Lepisosteus oculatus: one gene and its partner. The protein of the gene in region 1 interacts with the protein of each later gene in a pairwise test. Links are inferred from orthologs where the notes say so. Each region holds a gene or a part of one and is shown on either strand. Other genes may lie near its edges. The genes, in order: trip10a and abl2.

Region 1 (3,918 bases):
AGCGCACCACTGCTTTTCCAAATCCTCTTCAACTCCATCCGCATTCTTCTGCAGTGAACAGTGCTTTCGTCCTGCTTCCAGTCAATAATAAAGACGTAACTCTGTCACTTAGCAATTGGTGTTTTTATTGGTTTAATTTTCAGCGTGGTTTCGAAAAAAATCCTCATGAATGCATTTTTCACATTGGTTTTCAGGTTGGGAGACGACATGCATTCAAAAATTTAAAATCACTTGCCTTTAAGGTGCACATCAGTTCCGCATATGAGCTAAAATTGCTTTTGACAGTGAGTCGAAGAGTGGGGTGTACAGGAAAATGTCTTCACTAAATGCATGAAAGGTTTGCATCTCAGGGCTATTTTGGGCGAATGCACAAACTGTGCAAGTGAACTGAAGAAGTGTTGTTGATAACGAGGGCAGGAGGACATTTGTCTGACCTTCTTGCACAGTAGCGTGTTGGAAGTGTAATTTCCACTTTTTGCCGCAAGATGGAGCTTTCTGCACATCACGCACATCCCAGATTCACAGTGCTTCGTACTTCACAGAACATTAAAGTTTGAATAGTTTACAAATTAGAAAAATTGACGAAAAAACTTTAAAACACACAGAATTATCGCGTATTTACATTCTATGAAGATATTCAGTATATTTCCAGTCACCCTTCTTCTTTGGTTGCTTGTAATTTATTGATCAGAGTGTCTCAGCCGGCAGATTCATAATTGTTTACTCATCATATATAATACCGCCGAGCGGGTTGTTCCAGACACTCACCACCCTCGTTGTAAAGAAGCATTCATCTCGTCTGTATCAAAACACATCAGTTTTCTGATAGCTGTTAGTTTGTAATCTGCTATGTATGTCGTGTCGCCGCCAACCAAATCGGATTTCACACGAGGGATGGCCACCTTGACAAACGCACGACAGGCTCTGTGGATGGTAATTGTTGTTGTGAGTCTTAATTGAATAATGTCCCCTTCATTGTTCCTGTGGATTATTATGATCGCATTTACCTTCTTTCAATCGCGTTTTTAAAGCAGGCTCCAGCTCAGGTTCGTGGTGTCGTATTCCGCGCCACCGCTAGGCGGAGCTGTGGTGAAGCTCCTATCGTACCTCTCCAGGTGGCTCAAACTCAAATCCGTCTTCTACAATCCCGGGAGCTCGACTGTCCCACCTAATCTCTGTGCGCCCAAAGCAGATAAGACGTCTCACACACAAGCACTTCGGTATTTGCTGTTACTCGTGAGGAAACTCACGTTTCCCACCGGAAGCACGGAATCGCTTGAGCCAGCGTATACAATGAAATAAGAGGCTCATCTATCCCTAAATTAAAACGCACAAAAGAGAGTAGAATCGTATATTAACACAATAATACCGAAGTGTTTGTGTGTGAAACGTCTTGTTATTAAACGAAAGGGTACAAAAATAAGGTATAAAGAGTTATTTTTACTCTTTCGTTTAATAATACGACTTTCCTTAATCGTATTTTTGTTCACTGTTATTAAAAGCAGAGTGATAACTTTTTCCAGTTTTTGCGCGTTAATCGAAACACGGCAACAGCGATAGGAAACGGCTCCAGCCCCTGGTCTGTAGCTGATAGGCGCGGCAGCAGAGCGCACCGCCGAGTCAACACGGGGTCGCCTTGCGCCGAGCAGGAATTACTGCCCGGCCCCTTTAAGGATTGAGGATCTGGGAGTGACGCGGATACGAGGGCTGGAACATCCCACCTCGCTTTGCGACTGCGAGACGAGGCGCAAGAGCGAAGGGAAAAAATGTTTGATGTCGCTTAATCAGGGAAGAGTTTATCCATCGATCTCTCGGTTTTGTAGCGCTCATATATCGTCTCTTCGGGATATACTGTGCGGCGGGTCGTGACACTTCTGGACTCCTGCAAACTCCCAGGCGTTGTCGCGATGGACTGGGGCACGGACCTTTGGGTAAGTTTAATCCTCTTGCTATTTTTTACTTTTGTACTGGAGTTGAAATGAGATGCATATTTTTTTTCTTTTCTTTGAAGTTTAACCGCCCCCCCCACCCCAGCACAACACAACACAACACACGCGCAGCTCTTTTGACTAGAAAGGCGGATTTCGTTTTGATTTTTCATGCTCTGCTGGCTAAATTGGCGAGCCTTGTCCAAAAGACTTTTATAAAGTCGTTCAACTGAAAAAAAAACAACAACCTCCAAATCTTTTGTTGTTCTTGTTGGCCCGGATACACCCCATCAAGTTGATGGGAGTTACCTCAATCAATTAAGGTTACCTTAACCTTAAACAGTGTCCGCTTTTGTGTTTGTTAGGGAAGTTTTTTTTGGGTCAGTGGGGTACTTAATTGTAGGCTAGGTTGCTGCTCGTCTCTTCTGTCTTTGGCGCAAAATAGGTCAACATGTTAAAAAGTTAACGTTGGCTCTTAACGTGGTCAGTAAAACGTGCTCTTTATTATAAAGGGTCGGCGTGGGTGCTGCCGTTGCCTGCCCTGCAAACACAAAACAGCTGACCGTGATTTTTTTTTTAATCGTTCAATAAAGCCGATCCTATTTTAGATGGGATCGAATCTGTACGATCATACGCACGCAGAAACTGTAACTGTAGAAGAGAAAAAAAACACACAACCTTTCAGGCCACATATTGAACAGAACACGTATTGCGGCTACCCGGGGCTCGCCTTGTAATTTGCTAGATATTTTTAAATGCGCGGCGAGTCCAAGTCCGCCGCATCCTGCGCGCTGCGTGGATGTGGGCTTGTCGTGATGTAGTAGCCTGCAGGGCAGACGCGTCCCCCGTGACGAGCTGCAGCCCCGATCAGTGGTTACAAACGCGACACAGCGCAGGGTCTTCTTAGACCGTCACCCTCTAATTAAGTCGCACTACCGCTGGGCCGAATAAGTCTCCTCTTGCAAGGCGGCGTGAGTGTCCCGACAGCAGCATGTTTTGTCACTAAGGTCTGTGACATGGTACATTATGTAAAAGTTGTGGGAGTTTTACTTCCGAGCAGTCGTCAGACGTCTTGCTGGGTGAAGTTTTTCGGACGTGTCACGTTTTTTTTTTTACCCCTGCGGGCGGTCTGGGTTTGGCCTGTTAATTGGCCCTCGTTGGGCTCCGTGTTGCGAGGTTAATAAAATTGTCTTTTTCGGCCCGTTTCCGACATCGGATCCCTGTTATTGTTATTATTACTACTACTCCTGCTGTGCCGGAGAGGAAACGGCGACTCCCAGTCATTTCCCTTGTTCGTGCCTTGCGCCGTACGTGATGCCCAACTGCGCGCCCGGCTTCACCCTGGATGTCGCGGTTTCTCGTTTTGTCTCCACGGACTGTTACCTCTCCTCCGAACCACTGGGCTTATTCTCTCGCCTGGCTTCAAGGGTCAGGTCCTAAAAGGCGGCAGTGGCGATTGGGGTCTGAAGTGTCTGGAGAGAGACTGGACCACAGTTCCCACACCAGTGCCCTCAGTATCCTGGCTGGAGACGCTGTGCTGTAGGACGTGAAACCAAAGTCCCGCCAACTTGGTCATTAAAGATCCCAGGGCGCTCTTTGCAAATAAGTAGAGTAAAAGTTAAAAAAAACTGGCTCAAGGACCCCCCCCCCCCATGCCCTGGATAAATTCCAGCACTCTGGGCTTGAATAGTTTGGCCTCTCAAAAGTTCCTGCTTAATGCAGCTGGTGGAACAGTTCCTCACTCGCCTCCCCTGTCAGTCCAGTGAGAGGTAAAGTGCATCACTCCTTCCTCGGGACGCTCTTTGGGTTGGAATGCTCTCTATAATCGCAGGTCATTTTCATCGAAGGGAGCATCAACAGTGCCAATCGGCTGTGAAGGGCTGGTGAAGTTCACACTGGGGCAGCTTGTCGAATATAGAGCAACCTCAACCCGCCAGCACCACTCCCCCCCCCCCCACACACAAACAGGTCAGGGGTCAAAGGAGGTCAA
Region 2 (3,918 bases), on another chromosome or scaffold:
CAGGCTGTGTCCCTCTACTCACCTGTCTAGGTGCCAAGATGAGAAGCATGTAGTTAATTAGGAACTCCTGGATTTATAAAGGGGAGGCATATTTATAGTTTAATGCAAGTGCACATTTTCCCTATAAAGCACTTAATGTTCCTTAGCTTACTTAAACCCTGTGTAAGTTTGTCTATATAAAGAGCCCTTAAACCTTAAGTTAGCATCCAAAGCTATACTTCTCCCTTTTTCCTGCACGGGAGTCTAGCAAGCAAAACCTTGATCTCCAGCTGTAGAAAGATTAGAGTAGTTTTGCAACAACTTGCAAAAGCATGTTGGAAATTGATTTTATGGCTTCCAATAGAAAATTCACTTTCCTCATTTCCCATCCATCATCTCCTCTGTATATTGTAATTGTGTTTTATCTTGTATTTTTTTTTTTATTTGTCATTCTGTAAAGTGCTTTGAGAAGCCACCTTTAAAGGTGCTATATAAAATACTTTATTTGGGGGGGGAAGTGTTTGGATTTCTATAGGTAACTCAATAGTATTCTGCTCAAATACACTTTTCTGTCTTTGCCATGTCACTTTGTCTCCATGAATCAGTGGTGTCATTTTATAAGGTGTATTAAAAGGCATATTAATATTCCTGTGTTCACAGCTCGTCAATAAATTCTTATACAACTATGGTTAAGTAAAGCATTGCCTTTAGTGTCATGAAACCATAAGCACTCAGAAATAGTTCCTATGTAAAACGGTGAGCATTCATATTTCATCATGGTACTTAAACTATTTTGCCCACTTTGGAGTACGATTCACAGAACCCATTGAATCAATACAAAAACAATTTAAGATTTCTTAGCATCCGGTTACTATCAAACAACGCCCACTTAGGAGTGTGTGTTCTTTTTCCTTTTCCACCTAGCGGCTTGGAGGTCTTGGATTTTCCAGACGGGAGCTGGTGACTGAAGTCCCCCTGCAAAAGTGAACGCTGTTCTGCGGTAAAGATGGCGGCTGCAGAGGGGGCGCGTAGTGGCCGGAGGAAGACGGAGCGTCCCTGAAGGAGCAAGAAAACTGGGGCGAGGGAAACGAACGGCTCCGGGAAATCTGCTGACTGTACCTGGGTTGCTGGGTGAAAGGATTTCTTATATACTTTCGGGGAGGCTGGAAGAAGAGAATAAGGAACAGGCCGCTCCGTTCCTGTGGGATGTGAACCGGGAAGGGGGTGGGTTACGTCCCGTGGAAGAGCGCTACCGAGGTCTGGGGATATGGGACAACAGGTAGGCCGCGTCGGGGAGGGATCCTCGACCGGACCCCAGCAGCCGCAGTCTCAACAGCACCATCTGGTAAGGGCGAGTAGAGGAAGCGGCGTCGGGAGGAGACCACGGGAGACCGCTACCACAGGGACCCCGCCTGGTAGGACTACCGCTGTCAGCACACCGGATCCGGGAATCAATATTTTCACACAGCATTCAGGTAAGGTTATTAGAGGGCGGTAGAAAACGCCTCAGAAATGCATGCGAAAGAATACCTTTGCTGTTATTCAGATGTTTTGTCAAGGCGGTTTTCAGATGTGGTAAGCTATTACTACCCAAACGCCTCAAATCGCTAGTGTTTCTTTGTGAAAAATGTTCAGTCGCGATGCATTAAAAAAAGACTATACAGGCGAGTTAAGTGTTTAGAGAGAGCCACTACAGCAGGTAGTGAGAGAAAATGTCTTTGAAACCAGTTTTCCTACACCGACGTGACAGCCCGGTCTAATTCTAGACGCCAAAGTTGAGTTTTTTAGGCAAGATCTCTTCATGAGGTTTTAAGTATATTGTAATGCATTCCCTTAGCTTATCTTTAAACTAGCTAACCTCTCAGCTGGTCGAATTTAACTGTCATTCCTTTTGCAAATACATATAGATTGCATTAAAACTGAGCCCGTTCTCCATTACATATCAGCTCCCCTAATGGTGTAGACTTCTCAACTGGAAACTGTTCACAATGTCGTGACTGAGGATGTATGCTTCACTAAAGCAATCATCATACGGAGCTTCCTAATTAAATAATACGTCCGAGAATATTTATGAACAATAGACGGATTGAATAAACTGGAACTTTCTGTTAAGGGTCTTTCATCTGTTTGGCTTTAGCTATTTGACTTTGCATTCAGGCGGGGTCACACTAAAAGCAGTAACTCCGAACTGCAGCCATTCTCTCAATGCAAGAAGCGTCACTTGTTTTAATATAGAGCAATCAGTGTTCAGGATTTCCCAGCGCGTACAGTAGTGGAGAGAAAAGCGAGTCACTCCGTCGTTAGAGATTAGGTGCAATGAGTGCCATCGAGCCTGTGTGAATCATCCTAAGTGCATTTAGCGTCTGACGGAAATTGGGCTGAAAACTGTATATTCTGTACTCGATGAAGAGCCTCCTTCATTGCCCAACAGCTGCGCCTCGAAGTGTCAGTTCATTCCCTTTGTCAATACACTGCCGCTTGTTTAATAATGATCTTAAGGGCTGGGATGCAGTGGCTGACTCGTATTGGAAGCCTGCTCAAAAGCCTTCTTCGTTACTCTTGTTTATGCTGTACCAAAGTATAATTTCGTGGGCTTGTAAAGAAAATCTACACCAAGGACATGTTCCCGGCGTTGAAAACATTTGAGACGAGGGCGTGTTTTTTTTCGTCGCTGAGTACTAAAACGTGATCATTGTACTTAGAAAAGCTCTCTGAACAATAAGCCACAGGTGAATCCAATACTTCTTTCTGCACTGCCGAAGTAAAGACACGTCCTTTACAAGTGGTTTTTCCCTTCTGAATGTTTGGCTGACAATTTTTCTCCACGTTTAAGACAGCTGAGCGCACTCCGATTTTGCTCATTGATTTGAGAGACATCCACTTTTAGAGCAGCGAAGGAGACGGCTCCGTTGATGGTTGATCTGACTGAGCAGAACCAGAACAAACATCCCAGTCTGTTCCAAGTGCTTGAGTGCTATCCTTTTGGTAACTGTCATTGTCATTAATTCCTGAATGTAACAACGCTGAGTTAGTCCTTTTTCTTTAACACTCGCAAGAACTTTCATTGCTTGGTGGCCTTTCTTGTCCCAGCCAGCTCCAAGATTTAATGATGATGATAATGGTAATAATAATAATAATGAATAATTGCTTACACTTATATAGCGCTTTTCTGGACACTCCACTCAAAGCGCTTTACAGGTAATGGGGACTCCCCTCCACCACCACCAATGTGCAGCATCCACCTGGAAGATGCGACGGCAGCCACAGTGCACCAGAACGCTCACCACACATCAGCTATCAGTGGGGAGGAGAGCAGAGTAATGAAACCAATTCATAGATGGGGATTATTAGGAGGCCATGATTGGGAGGGCCAATGGGAAATTTGGCCAGGACGCCAGGGTTACACCCCTACACTTTTCGAGAAAAACCCTGGGATTTGTAATGACCACAGAGAGTCAGGACCTCGGTTTTACGTCTCATCCGAAGGACGGCGCCTGTTTACAGTCTAGTGTCCCCGTCACTATACTGGGGCATTAGGGCCCACGTGGACCACAGGGTGAGCACCCCCTGCTACAAGGTGCTAAAAGTGTTTAAAGTGCTGCTACAATGTAGTTGTGAATGTAAGTTAAAAGGACTGTTAAAACATCTGAAAAACACTCGAGCTCAGGGTTCAGAATGTGGACATACTCAGGAGAATATTAGAATGTTCTCTCTCATATGGCAGTGGTCGCTGTGCGAGGCGTTGACTGTCACAGAAAAGAAAGATTTTTCACCAAACACAAGCATAACATTTCTGGGTAAATACTGCATAGACAGTACTAATGGTGTTAACATTTGGGATATATTCATCCTTCATCTAATTTGCTTTCAGTTGTAAACATTCCCTTTTCTTCCAATAATGACTCATGACTTTAAGCTCTGAACGCGAGATTTCTGCAC

The links.
Region 2: the proteins of trip10a (region 1) and abl2 interact in binary tests that used the Homo sapiens proteins (3 or more experiments, as listed by UniProt). The link is inferred for Lepisosteus oculatus from reciprocal best matches to the Homo sapiens genes TRIP10 and ABL2.

What each region holds. Positions count from the first base shown.
Region 1 is NC_090706.1:15,205,150-15,209,067, reverse strand, and holds the start of trip10a (cdc42-interacting protein 4 homolog), read left to right. Parts: upstream 1-1,594; 5' UTR 1,595-1,907; coding exon 1,908-1,931; intron 1,932-3,918. UniProt on the Homo sapiens protein: Required for translocation of GLUT4 to the plasma membrane in response to insulin signaling. Required to coordinate membrane tubulation with reorganization of the actin cytoskeleton during endocytosis.
Region 2 is NC_090704.1:29,005,010-29,008,927, forward strand, and holds the start of abl2 (tyrosine-protein kinase ABL2), read left to right. Parts: upstream 1-943; 5' UTR 944-1,246; coding exon 1,247-1,454; intron 1,455-3,918. UniProt on the Homo sapiens protein: Non-receptor tyrosine-protein kinase that plays an ABL1-overlapping role in key processes linked to cell growth and survival such as cytoskeleton remodeling in response to extracellular stimuli, cell motility and adhesion and receptor endocytosis.